2 linked regions of the Arabidopsis thaliana genome follow. The protein of the gene in region 1 interacts with the protein of each later gene in a pairwise test. Each region holds a gene or a part of one and is shown in the gene's direction. Other genes may lie near its edges.

Region 1 (3,583 bases):
TGTTAAAGTTGTTGTTTTTATCTCTCTTGGCTGCGATCTTGAGCCACAGTCCAATAAACCGTACTTAGCCACATCTCTACAAGACTTCTGGGGTCGCCGGTGGAATCTCATGGTTCCGGCGATTCTCCGGCCAGCCGTTTACGCACCAATGCGGCGAGTCTCTGAACGCAAAATGAGTTCCGGTTGGGCTCTGTTTCCGGGGATTTTGGCAGCGTTTATCGTCTCCGGTTTGGTTCACGAATTGCTCTTCTTCTATTTGATACGTGAGATGCCTACAGGAGAAGTTACTCTGTTCTTTGTGTTACATGGCGTTTGTACTGCTGTAGAATTGGCGGTGAAGAAGAAAACGACGGTAGCACAGCGGTGGCGGTTGAGTCCGGGGGTGTCGCGGGTTCTCACGGTGGGGTTTGTGTTTGTGACTGGTGGTTGGTTGTTTACACCTCAGCTTAAAAGGAGCGGGGTGATGGAGAGATTCACATCTGAAGCTGTGTTGCTCGTTGAGTTCATTAAGCGATAAGTTATTTTATTTACGTTGTTGGGGATATTTTATAACGAGTGTTAAATGAGCACGAGTTAACGTTATTGAGTCCGGTTGAGCATCAAAGTCCATAATGGTCAACTACTTATCTTGAAATGAATCGAACTTGTCTTGTTGAAGATGTCGGCAAGTTGGAATTAGTAGAAACTCTTTAAGATGCTGCCAGCATGTCTCTTGGTCTCTTCATGCCGTTTCTTTCTTTCTTATCAAACCCTAAAAAAACTGACTTGCTTCAGTTCCAAGTTCGTTGTACATGACGATTTGTTTTTACTTGGAACTAAAGAATGAAATAATAGTGTTACTTGGAACCAAACCAACACTTCCTATCGATCGATCAATTTTTGTTCCCTCGACTACTGTTTGTGTCATGTTCACGTGAACCCTTTGTAGAGAGATTATCTAAATACAACATAGTTGGGAGGAAAGATCGCCAAAGAGCGTTAGCGAGAGGAAGAAAAAAACTATATGGATTTCCCATATAACGTCAAGCATAGGTCAAAATGTTTACTCTGCTGTCAAATTATTTAAGAAATAGAAGCTTCATTGCTCCCTCATCGGTAGAATTCGTCAACTTATTGCAGGTTTTGAATCATTCAAATTCTTTAGTTCCAGGCGAAAACGAATTTTTATGATATATTGATATTGCTTGTGTAGTTGTGTTACGAGAGATGGGTGCGTTTCAACTCGTACTTAGAACGGGAGGTCCCGCATGGCTTCATAATCGCATTAAGGAGAAACGACAACCTTAGTTTTATTTCACTGTTTTTTACGAGTGTTAATTATGCTCTGCTCTGCTAACTTTTTCATAAAAAAATTCAATATTTAAGACGTTGAAAAGAAAAACTATAAACGGTAGTCATACTTATTTTTTTTTATTTTTACATACACTACTAGTACTATATTACTATATCATAAAAGAGGAAAGTACTTAATTTGATAGATTTTCCAGAGCCATTAACTACTCAACAACTGCCAATAGTTTTTTCCCTTAAATGTGTAACAAACATACTGTCTTTATTAATTGCTCCCACGCTTATATACTACAACTGTAAACATTTTTCCTATGTTTCTTGGTTTATTATCACTTAACCAGTAACCATGGAGGAAGAACTCAAGTTATTCATCCAAGTATGGGTTTCTGCAATCATTTCAGTAACTTATTGTTACTACTTAACACCCAAAATCAAAACCAGTCTTCTTCGATTACTATCTGTTCTTCCTGTTTGTGTTTTGTTTCTTATTATTCCTATCTTTTTCTCCACTGTTCATTCCTCTTTCACTATTGCATTTTTCCTCTCAGGTCTTGCAGTTCCAAAACTCATCCTCTTTGCATTAGAAAAAGGTCCTCTTTTTCCACTTCCTCCTAATCTCCCTCATTTCGTCTGCTTTGCTTGCTTCCCCATCAAGCTTCAAAAAAAACCTAACCCTGAAAATACTAACCATTTCCCCAAATGGGTTTTTGCCCTGAAAGTTTTCATCTTTGGTGCCTTGTTACTACAAGCGTATCATTACAAACAATTTCTATCTACGAATTTTCTATTGGGTCTCTATGCTCTGCATATATACTTGGAGCTTGAGATTTCCTTAACCTTGATAAAATTTCTCGTCAGTATCACTCTTGGGTGTGACCTCGAGCCACAATTCAACGAACCATACTTAGCCACCTCTCTACATGACTTCTGGGGTCACCGATGGAACCTCATGGTCTCGAAGATTCTCTGGCTCGCAGTGTACAACCCCATACGGCAATGGCGAGCCAAGAGCTCCGAGTGGGATCGGTTCTTCGCGATTTTCGCCACGTTCCTCGTCTCTGGTGTGGCTCACGAGATTCTCTACTTCTATTTGACACGTGAGAAGCCTACATGGGAGGTGACTTGGTTCTTTGTGTTACATGGGTTTTGCATGGCGGCTGAAGTGGCACTGAAGAGGAAGACGAAGTTGGTGCAGCGGTGGCCGGTGAATCCGGCAGTGTCGAGACTGCTTACGGTGGGGTTTGTGTTTGTGACTGGTGTTTGGCTATTTTCCCCCCAGCCTATTAGGCACGGCTTGATGGAGAGGTTCATCAATGAAGACTTGTTTCTAATTGATTTCTTTAATCGTAAGTTATATATCCTCTTAGGGTTGTTTACGAGTCTTTAATAAATGGGAAAATTGGAAACAAAGGATAAATATTTAAAGAAAGAGATGGTAAGATTCTAAGAGAAATTGAAGCGAGGGAAATAAAGAAAGATAAATTGAAAAAAAAAGAGTTTTGTTTTGGAGTTATTTGAGAGGAGTGAACAGCTTAATTTTTGTGAAGAATAGAGGAAGACAATATCGAAGAAGTGATGAACGACGACTCCAAGTAAAAGAATATTGATTTGCTCCAAGTAAAAATAAATTGGTTTGGACTTTTTGTTTTGTATTTTGTAAGCATAAAAAAGCTGGAGATATAGTGGGATTTAAATTATATTAAACGCATATGTCACCAATCTTGATCATAAAATGTATAGATGGAAATTTTTTTAAATATTTATCTTTTATTTCCAATTTCCCCTTAATAAAATTTACATGTTTATTTATCAAAGTTGTTTTGTTTTCGCTAAACTATCTTACAAATAAATTAATAGGTGTTGAAGACAAAACTTCATTTTTCATCTATCCTAAAAATAAAGAAACCTGAAAAATATGGCAAATTTACTAAAAATATTCCGGTAGAGTAGTAGTCTTTTTGAATAATAGTATTTTTCGAAAATTGGTACATCTAAGATTCAAAAGGGGTATTTCATGAAAATTCCTCATATATTTGTCTATACTAAAAATATAACTTTATAATAATTTGATGAAATAAATCGGTGATTAATATTTTTGGACAGTTAGGTATACTGGTCTAGTGTTAAACTTGACTTGAAGTTGAACCATGTGAATTCTCCCATACGGAGAACTACCACCTTACACCGATAGTCTCAACTAAACATGAACCATAAACTCTTTGACAATTTCTCACTTTCTTTTTATTTTTCTTCTTTACTTTGAATATTAATTAGTTGGCTGTTGGCACGCTTT
Region 2 (6,636 bases), on another chromosome or scaffold:
GTGTATGGTTATGGAATTTGCTCGGTTGGTTGGAGAAATCAAAAACAGAGGAGCTAAACCGGATGGGTTTTGGATGAGGTTTAGCCGGAATACGCAGTTGCTTGTTGATGCTGTGAAAGAGTCGATTGATAATAACCTTGAACCGGTGTTTCTCTCCGGCCGGTGAGAAAGAGCTCAGAAGTTAGATCAGATTTGTTTGTGTCGATGCTTTTAGTAGATGTAGTAATTAGGGGTTTATGTATGATATCTTCTCGGCGTCCGTTGGTGGAGAGGTCAATTAAAGATCTCCTTGGCGCATGGCTGCAAGCATTTCATCAATACATTTCATCCATCACCAAGAAATTCTAGGGATATATACTGCATAGAGCTTCAAAGACTTGGTGCAGTGTCACTCACGAGTTTTGCTGTGTTTAATGTGGCACCGGGGTTTGCTTGTAAATCTATACCTCCAGCTTTAATAGCAGAGGTAGTGACTATGGCTGGTAAACTTTGGCATTATGTGACTTCTTTCTCCGATGTGACATCTTCAGGTGTCCAAACAAAAATCTCTGCTCATAAGACAATATAAGTTCATCGACAATACTAGCTACTGTTTTGTTGAATTCACAATCTCTGCACCTTTCTTATATAGCAGCCACCTTGGATTAATTTTGTTTTTGTTTTCCTTTTTCCTATGGTTTATGATTCAGAAGTTTAGATTATACGTTTATTTACAAGAATCCAGAGAATGAGTACATAATTGACCAAAAATAAAAGTTCAAATTATTTTGATGTAGAATTATAAATTAGTATTTGTAACTATGTTTTTTTTTAGTTTTTTGAATTTTTAAAGAAGAAAAAACACACATGTCAATATTTGTTCGACAAATATTGGTATGTGTTGTGTTCACGTGAGTTAACAATTTTGAAAACTTATCTACATATACATTTTTGCAGCCATTTATGTATACTTATTTACATTGGTTGCCATTGGCTTTTAATTATTGGGTTTTTTTTTTTGGTAATAAATTGATTAACAAACGAAAAACATTCGAAATATATTTCAATCCTATATATCACGCAGATTTCTCCAAAATTTAAACTAGATTTTGGCAACTATTTAAAACAAAAAATGTTTGACAAACTAAAATACAATTGCAATCCCTTAAAATGAGCAAAACGCACCTAAATACATTTTTTACAATTCACTAAATCTTATTTCTCCAAAATTTGAACTAGATTTCGGCAACTATTTAAAACAAAAATTTGTTTGACAAACTAAAATACAATTGCAATCCCGTAAAATATTTATTTAAATTAGCGGTGTACTACAGGTTTTTTTACGGAACGGGTTTGGCAAGACGGGTTTGGAAGAACTTTACTTAATAACAATTGTAAACTATAAAATAAAAATGTTTTATAGATAGATATAATTTGCAAACTTTTATATATATTAATTTTAAAAAATAATTTGTCTCCGCAGTATACTGCGGGTTAAAATCTAGTTATAATATATATCCGTAAAGAACAATAACACAGTATGAATTTTTTTTGTAAGTTATTCGATTAAAAATTAAAAGAAGCAAATTAAATTAAATAATGAGCTACCAAAACAAATAAACAAAAATTACTTTTTTGTCTATAAACATGGAGTTTTGCCAAGAAATTGTAAATAAAGTTTCTATTCCTTTTTTGTAAACAAAAGTTGTGTATCTAATTTTCTCTTTTCCATAAGTTGTGAATTGTGATAATAATTTACAAGTTGACAAAGAAAGAAAAGATTTAAAACAAAAAAAATGTGATTGTACTTAAGATTTCAAAGGTAGCGTTTTGTTGTTTCTCTCTTCCTCTCTCTCTCCACTGGTACCAATCACGCTCCATTAAGAATTTAAGAGAGAGAGAGACTAAACTTGAGCCCATCACTTTTGTAGTGACTAGTGAGTAGAGTAGGCTTTTAGAGAGAGAGAGAGAGAGACGGCTGTTGAAAGATAACCACAGAACACAAAAACTCATTCATTAAGAATGAGAAAGAAAGTCCCAAAAACCTTTTTTGCTCTGAAAAAGCAACGCAAAGTTTTGAAAAATCTCACACCTTTTTCACTTCTCTGTTTGTAGCTGTTACCACTTGTGTTTCCCCTTTGGCATTTTTCTCGGTTGTCATTAATGAGAGTAAAATCATCATCAAGTGTAAACTTCTCTCTCTCTTTCTCTATCTCTATCTCAAAGCTCTCAACTTTGGAGAGATCATGGTTTGTGTTTGATTTCTCAAGTTTTTTTTTTTTTACCCTCTTGGAGGATCTGGGAGGAGAAATTTGCTTTTTTTTGGTAAATGGGGAGAAAAAAGTTTGAAGCTTTTGGTTTTGTCTGCTTAATCTCACTGCTTCTTCTGTTTAATTCGTTATGGCTTGCCTCTTCTAACATGGAAGGTTTGTTACTCTTCTCTTATCTTTCTTTATTATTTATGTGACTACTTTTGCCTGTTTTAGTTGGTACATGAGAATTGAAATTTCCATCTGGCACTGTCTCTGTTCTTCAAAAAGGACTTTTTAAGAATCTGATTCTGTTTGAAAGCTTCAATTTCTATAGAGAATTTTGTTCATAATCTATGGTTAGGCTCCTTTAGAAAAATCACAATTGATTTACTGTTTGATTCAATGCTATTTCTCTGATAACGACATGTAAAAGAAACTGTATTTATGTCACTAGCAAACACATTAAGAATGAGGAACTGAAGAAGTATTCAATGCAAACTGTTTGGTTGTTTCATGTTTGATTTGTTTGGTAAGTATTTCCTCTTTGCGAAAGGCTTAGGCTTTTGTTTGGTATATTAACAGGTGATGCACTGCACAGTTTGAGAGCTAATCTAGTTGATCCAAATAATGTCTTGCAAAGCTGGGATCCTACGCTTGTTAATCCGTGTACTTGGTTTCACGTAACGTGTAACAACGAGAACAGTGTTATAAGAGTGTGAGTGTCTCTCTGCTTATACCTGACCTGACCAATGTTCTTTGTTTAGCTTATTTAATCTCTGTTTGTTGTTGCTTCTTCAGCGATCTTGGGAATGCAGACTTGTCTGGTCAGTTGGTTCCTCAGCTAGGTCAGCTCAAGAACTTGCAGTACTTGTAAGTTTTTGCTTTGATATCTAAATGGAAGATGAATCGTTACTCTGTAGATAAACGAAAAGTTGATGGCATTGACTATGTGTAGCATAACTACTTTATTTCTAGAGACTTGTAGTTTCTCATACATGATATAGGCGAATATGGCGATTACACTGAATCTTGTTTTTTCATTTTATTAGGACTTATTCAATACCCATTTGTCATTGTACATTGTTAATTTTCTTCTGAGGGTGTGATACTCTTAATGGCAGGGAGCTTTATAGTAATAACATAACCGGGCCGGTTCCAAGCGATCTTGGGAATCTGACAAACTTAGTGAGCTTGGATCTTTACTTGAACAGCTTCACTGGTCCAATTCCAGATTCTCTAGGAAAGCTATTCAAGCTTCGCTTTCTGTAAGAACACTTAGTCTGCTCTTCTCATCATGCACTGGCTAAATGTTTTGCTATATTAGAAATTTACTGAGGATTAAATTCTCTTTTGGCTAAATGTTATTACTTGTTGGACATTTGAATAGAAGTAAAAGAAATTGGCTTTGTCTTTCAAAACACTGAATAAACTTGTTTGATTGAACTCTGGTATGGGAAGATGGTAATGTGGTCTGAGTTTTTGTTGCAAGGATAGTCGGCTCAACAATAACAGTCTCACCGGACCAATTCCCATGTCATTGACTAATATCATGACCCTTCAAGTTTTGTGAGTATTACTTTTCAATTTTACTTTCTGCTCTTCTGAACTTCTCACTCTTAATGGATCACCTGAGTTTTCCTTATTATCTTGCAAACTGCAGGGATCTGTCGAACAACCGATTATCCGGATCTGTTCCTGATAATGGTTCCTTCTCGCTCTTCACTCCCATCAGGTTTGATTGAATCCATACTATGCAAACATTAGTTACTCGCATTATGGGAACTGAGGCTATAAGTTAAGATTAAGCACAAGTGGCAATAAAATTTAAAGTCTGAACCTAAGTTTCTTTTGATCATCTTAACTCTTAAGTAAATTTACTCAATAGACATACTACATTTTCCAAATTCTATTACTTTAATTGGTGGATATGGAAATTATCAGCAGTTGACCATTGTTCTTCTGCACAGTTTTGCTAACAACTTGGATCTATGCGGCCCAGTTACTAGCCGTCCTTGTCCTGGATCTCCCCCGTTTTCTCCTCCACCACCTTTTATACCACCTCCCATAGTTCCTACACCAGGTAATGAAATGAAGCAGACAGTAAAATTTAGATCTTTTACCTTCACTCATGCTTGGAAAAACATATTGGATGGTTGTTATAGAGTTTTTTACTGGATTTTGACTGGAAAAAAGTCTATCTCACAGTTTAAGAAGCTTGTGATCAACTTCACTGGTAGTTAACTATTTTGGTAAAAATAAAATTTAAGGTGGGTATAGTGCTACTGGAGCCATTGCGGGAGGAGTTGCTGCTGGTGCTGCTTTACTATTTGCTGCCCCTGCTTTAGCTTTTGCTTGGTGGCGTAGAAGAAAACCTCAAGAATTCTTCTTTGATGTTCCTGGTAAGTCACTGAGTCTGCAATATCCAAGCTTTGTTTCATTTCAGAATTGGATTAGTATTTAGTACTTAATTTTTCAGTTCTGTGATGCAGCCGAAGAGGACCCTGAGGTTCACTTGGGGCAGCTTAAGCGGTTCTCTCTACGGGAACTTCAAGTAGCAACTGATAGCTTCAGCAACAAGAACATTTTGGGCCGAGGTGGGTTCGGAAAAGTCTACAAAGGCCGTCTTGCTGATGGAACACTTGTTGCAGTCAAACGGCTTAAAGAAGAGCGAACCCCAGGTGGCGAGCTCCAGTTTCAGACAGAAGTGGAGATGATAAGCATGGCCGTTCACAGAAATCTCCTCAGGCTACGCGGTTTCTGTATGACCCCTACCGAGAGATTGCTTGTTTATCCTTACATGGCTAATGGAAGTGTCGCTTCCTGTTTGAGAGGTAACCTTGGAATTTTAACTGTTTGTATCATAAAGTAGAAAGACTCCCACAATGATGTATAAGTGTTGTTTTTGATCTTATCCATTTTTAAAACTTTCCAATACAATTGAGTGAGCTTTCTTGAAATGATTACAGAACGTCCACCATCACAGTTGCCTCTAGCCTGGTCAATAAGACAGCAAATCGCGCTAGGATCAGCGAGGGGTTTGTCTTATCTTCATGATCATTGCGACCCCAAAATTATTCACCGTGATGTGAAAGCTGCTAATATTCTGTTGGACGAGGAATTTGAGGCGGTGGTAGGTGATTTCGGGTTAGCTAGACTTATGGACTATAAAGATACTCATGTCACAACGGCTGTGCGTGGGACTATTGGACACATTGCTCCTGAGTATCTCTCAACTGGAAAATCTTCAGAGAAAACTGATGTTTTTGGCTACGGGATCATGCTTTTGGAACTGATTACAGGTCAGAGAGCTTTTGATCTTGCAAGACTGGCGAATGACGATGACGTTATGCTCCTAGATTGGGTATAACACAGATCTTTTAGCACATATCTGGCTATCTCTCAAAAAGCTGATTTATCTGTTCATTTGGTCTTCTCAGGTGAAAGGGCTTTTGAAGGAGAAGAAGCTGGAGATGCTTGTGGATCCTGACCTGCAAAGCAATTACACAGAAGCAGAAGTAGAACAGCTCATACAAGTGGCTCTTCTCTGCACACAGAGCTCACCTATGGAACGACCTAAGATGTCTGAGGTTGTTCGAATGCTTGAAGGTGACGGTTTAGCGGAGAAATGGGACGAGTGGCAGAAAGTGGAAGTTCTCAGGCAAGAAGTGGAGCTCTCTTCTCACCCCACCTCTGACTGGATCCTTGATTCGACTGATAATCTTCATGCTATGGAGTTGTCTGGTCCAAGATAAACGACATTGTAATTTGCCTAACAGAAAAGAGAAAGAACAGAGAAATATTAAGAGAATCACTTCTCTGTATTCTTTATTTCTTTGGTAGAAAAATAATGTAGTCTCTAATCAAATCTTATTCCATCTATCAGCATTCTTCATTCATTTCTTGTGAAAACCAAGGCCTTTAAATTAAACATAATCACAAACACCAAGTTCTATACATTACATATGTCTTCCACTGGATAAAGAGGAAGAAAAGGCTATTCCAAAAAACATTTTGAGCTCTTTGTTCCGCAAGAGAAGGAACAGCACAAGTGAAACACACTGAAAAACACCAAGCTTGCATTATAACATATGCAGGTAAGAATCACGAATCATGGGCGGGTCTTGTATTGTCTGAGAACGAATGAGAGCCAGATGAGGGATCATGCTTCTGCGATGTGAAGAGATTAGGGTATGAGTAATAGGGATCATCTTCCATTGAAGGCAGTCTCATTTGCTGATGGTCCTGGTCAGGGCTGAGTCTGTCAAGTGGTGAAGTCTCTGGCCTTTGGAGCTCTGGCAGATCGCCATAGCTGCTGACTGATGAGTTCTGATGATCAAACTGCGGTTTCTCCATTGACGGGAATCTATGTGGTGTAAGATCGTCATAGTTGCTGCCTGATGAGTTC

Evidence for each region.
Region 2: the proteins of AT5G55330 (region 1) and SERK2 interact in a protein complementation assay, tested with the Arabidopsis thaliana proteins (one large-scale study listed by BioGRID).

Annotation. Positions count from the first base shown.
Region 1 is NC_003076.8:22,436,919-22,440,501, reverse strand, and holds AT5G55330 (MBOAT (membrane bound O-acyl transferase) family protein), read left to right. Parts: upstream 1-1,617; 5' UTR 1,618-1,636; coding exon 1,637-2,677; 3' UTR 2,678-3,031; downstream 3,032-3,583. Other genes in the region: AT5G55340 (MBOAT (membrane bound O-acyl transferase) family protein), read left to right, coding at 1-517. UniProt on the Arabidopsis thaliana protein: Catalyzes the final step in the synthesis of long-chain linear esters (waxes).
Region 2 is NC_003070.9:12,456,770-12,463,405, forward strand, and holds SERK2 (somatic embryogenesis receptor-like kinase 2), read left to right. Parts: upstream 1-1,794; 5' UTR 1,795-2,308; coding exon 2,309-2,405; intron 2,406-2,813; coding exon 2,814-2,946; intron 2,947-3,029; coding exon 3,030-3,101; intron 3,102-3,352; coding exon 3,353-3,496; intron 3,497-3,725; coding exon 3,726-3,797; intron 3,798-3,891; coding exon 3,892-3,963; intron 3,964-4,198; coding exon 4,199-4,311; intron 4,312-4,498; coding exon 4,499-4,630; intron 4,631-4,720; coding exon 4,721-5,062; intron 5,063-5,197; coding exon 5,198-5,592; intron 5,593-5,668; coding exon 5,669-5,983; 3' UTR 5,984-6,136; downstream 6,137-6,636. Other genes in the region: AT1G34200 (Glyceraldehyde-3-phosphate dehydrogenase-like family protein), read left to right, coding at 1-166; AT1G34220 (Regulator of Vps4 activity in the MVB pathway protein), read right to left, coding at 6,333-6,636. UniProt on the Arabidopsis thaliana protein: Serine/threonine-kinase involved in brassinosteroid-dependent and -independent signaling pathways. Acts redundantly with SERK1 as a control point for sporophytic development controlling male gametophyte production. Serves as coreceptor to small peptide (e.g.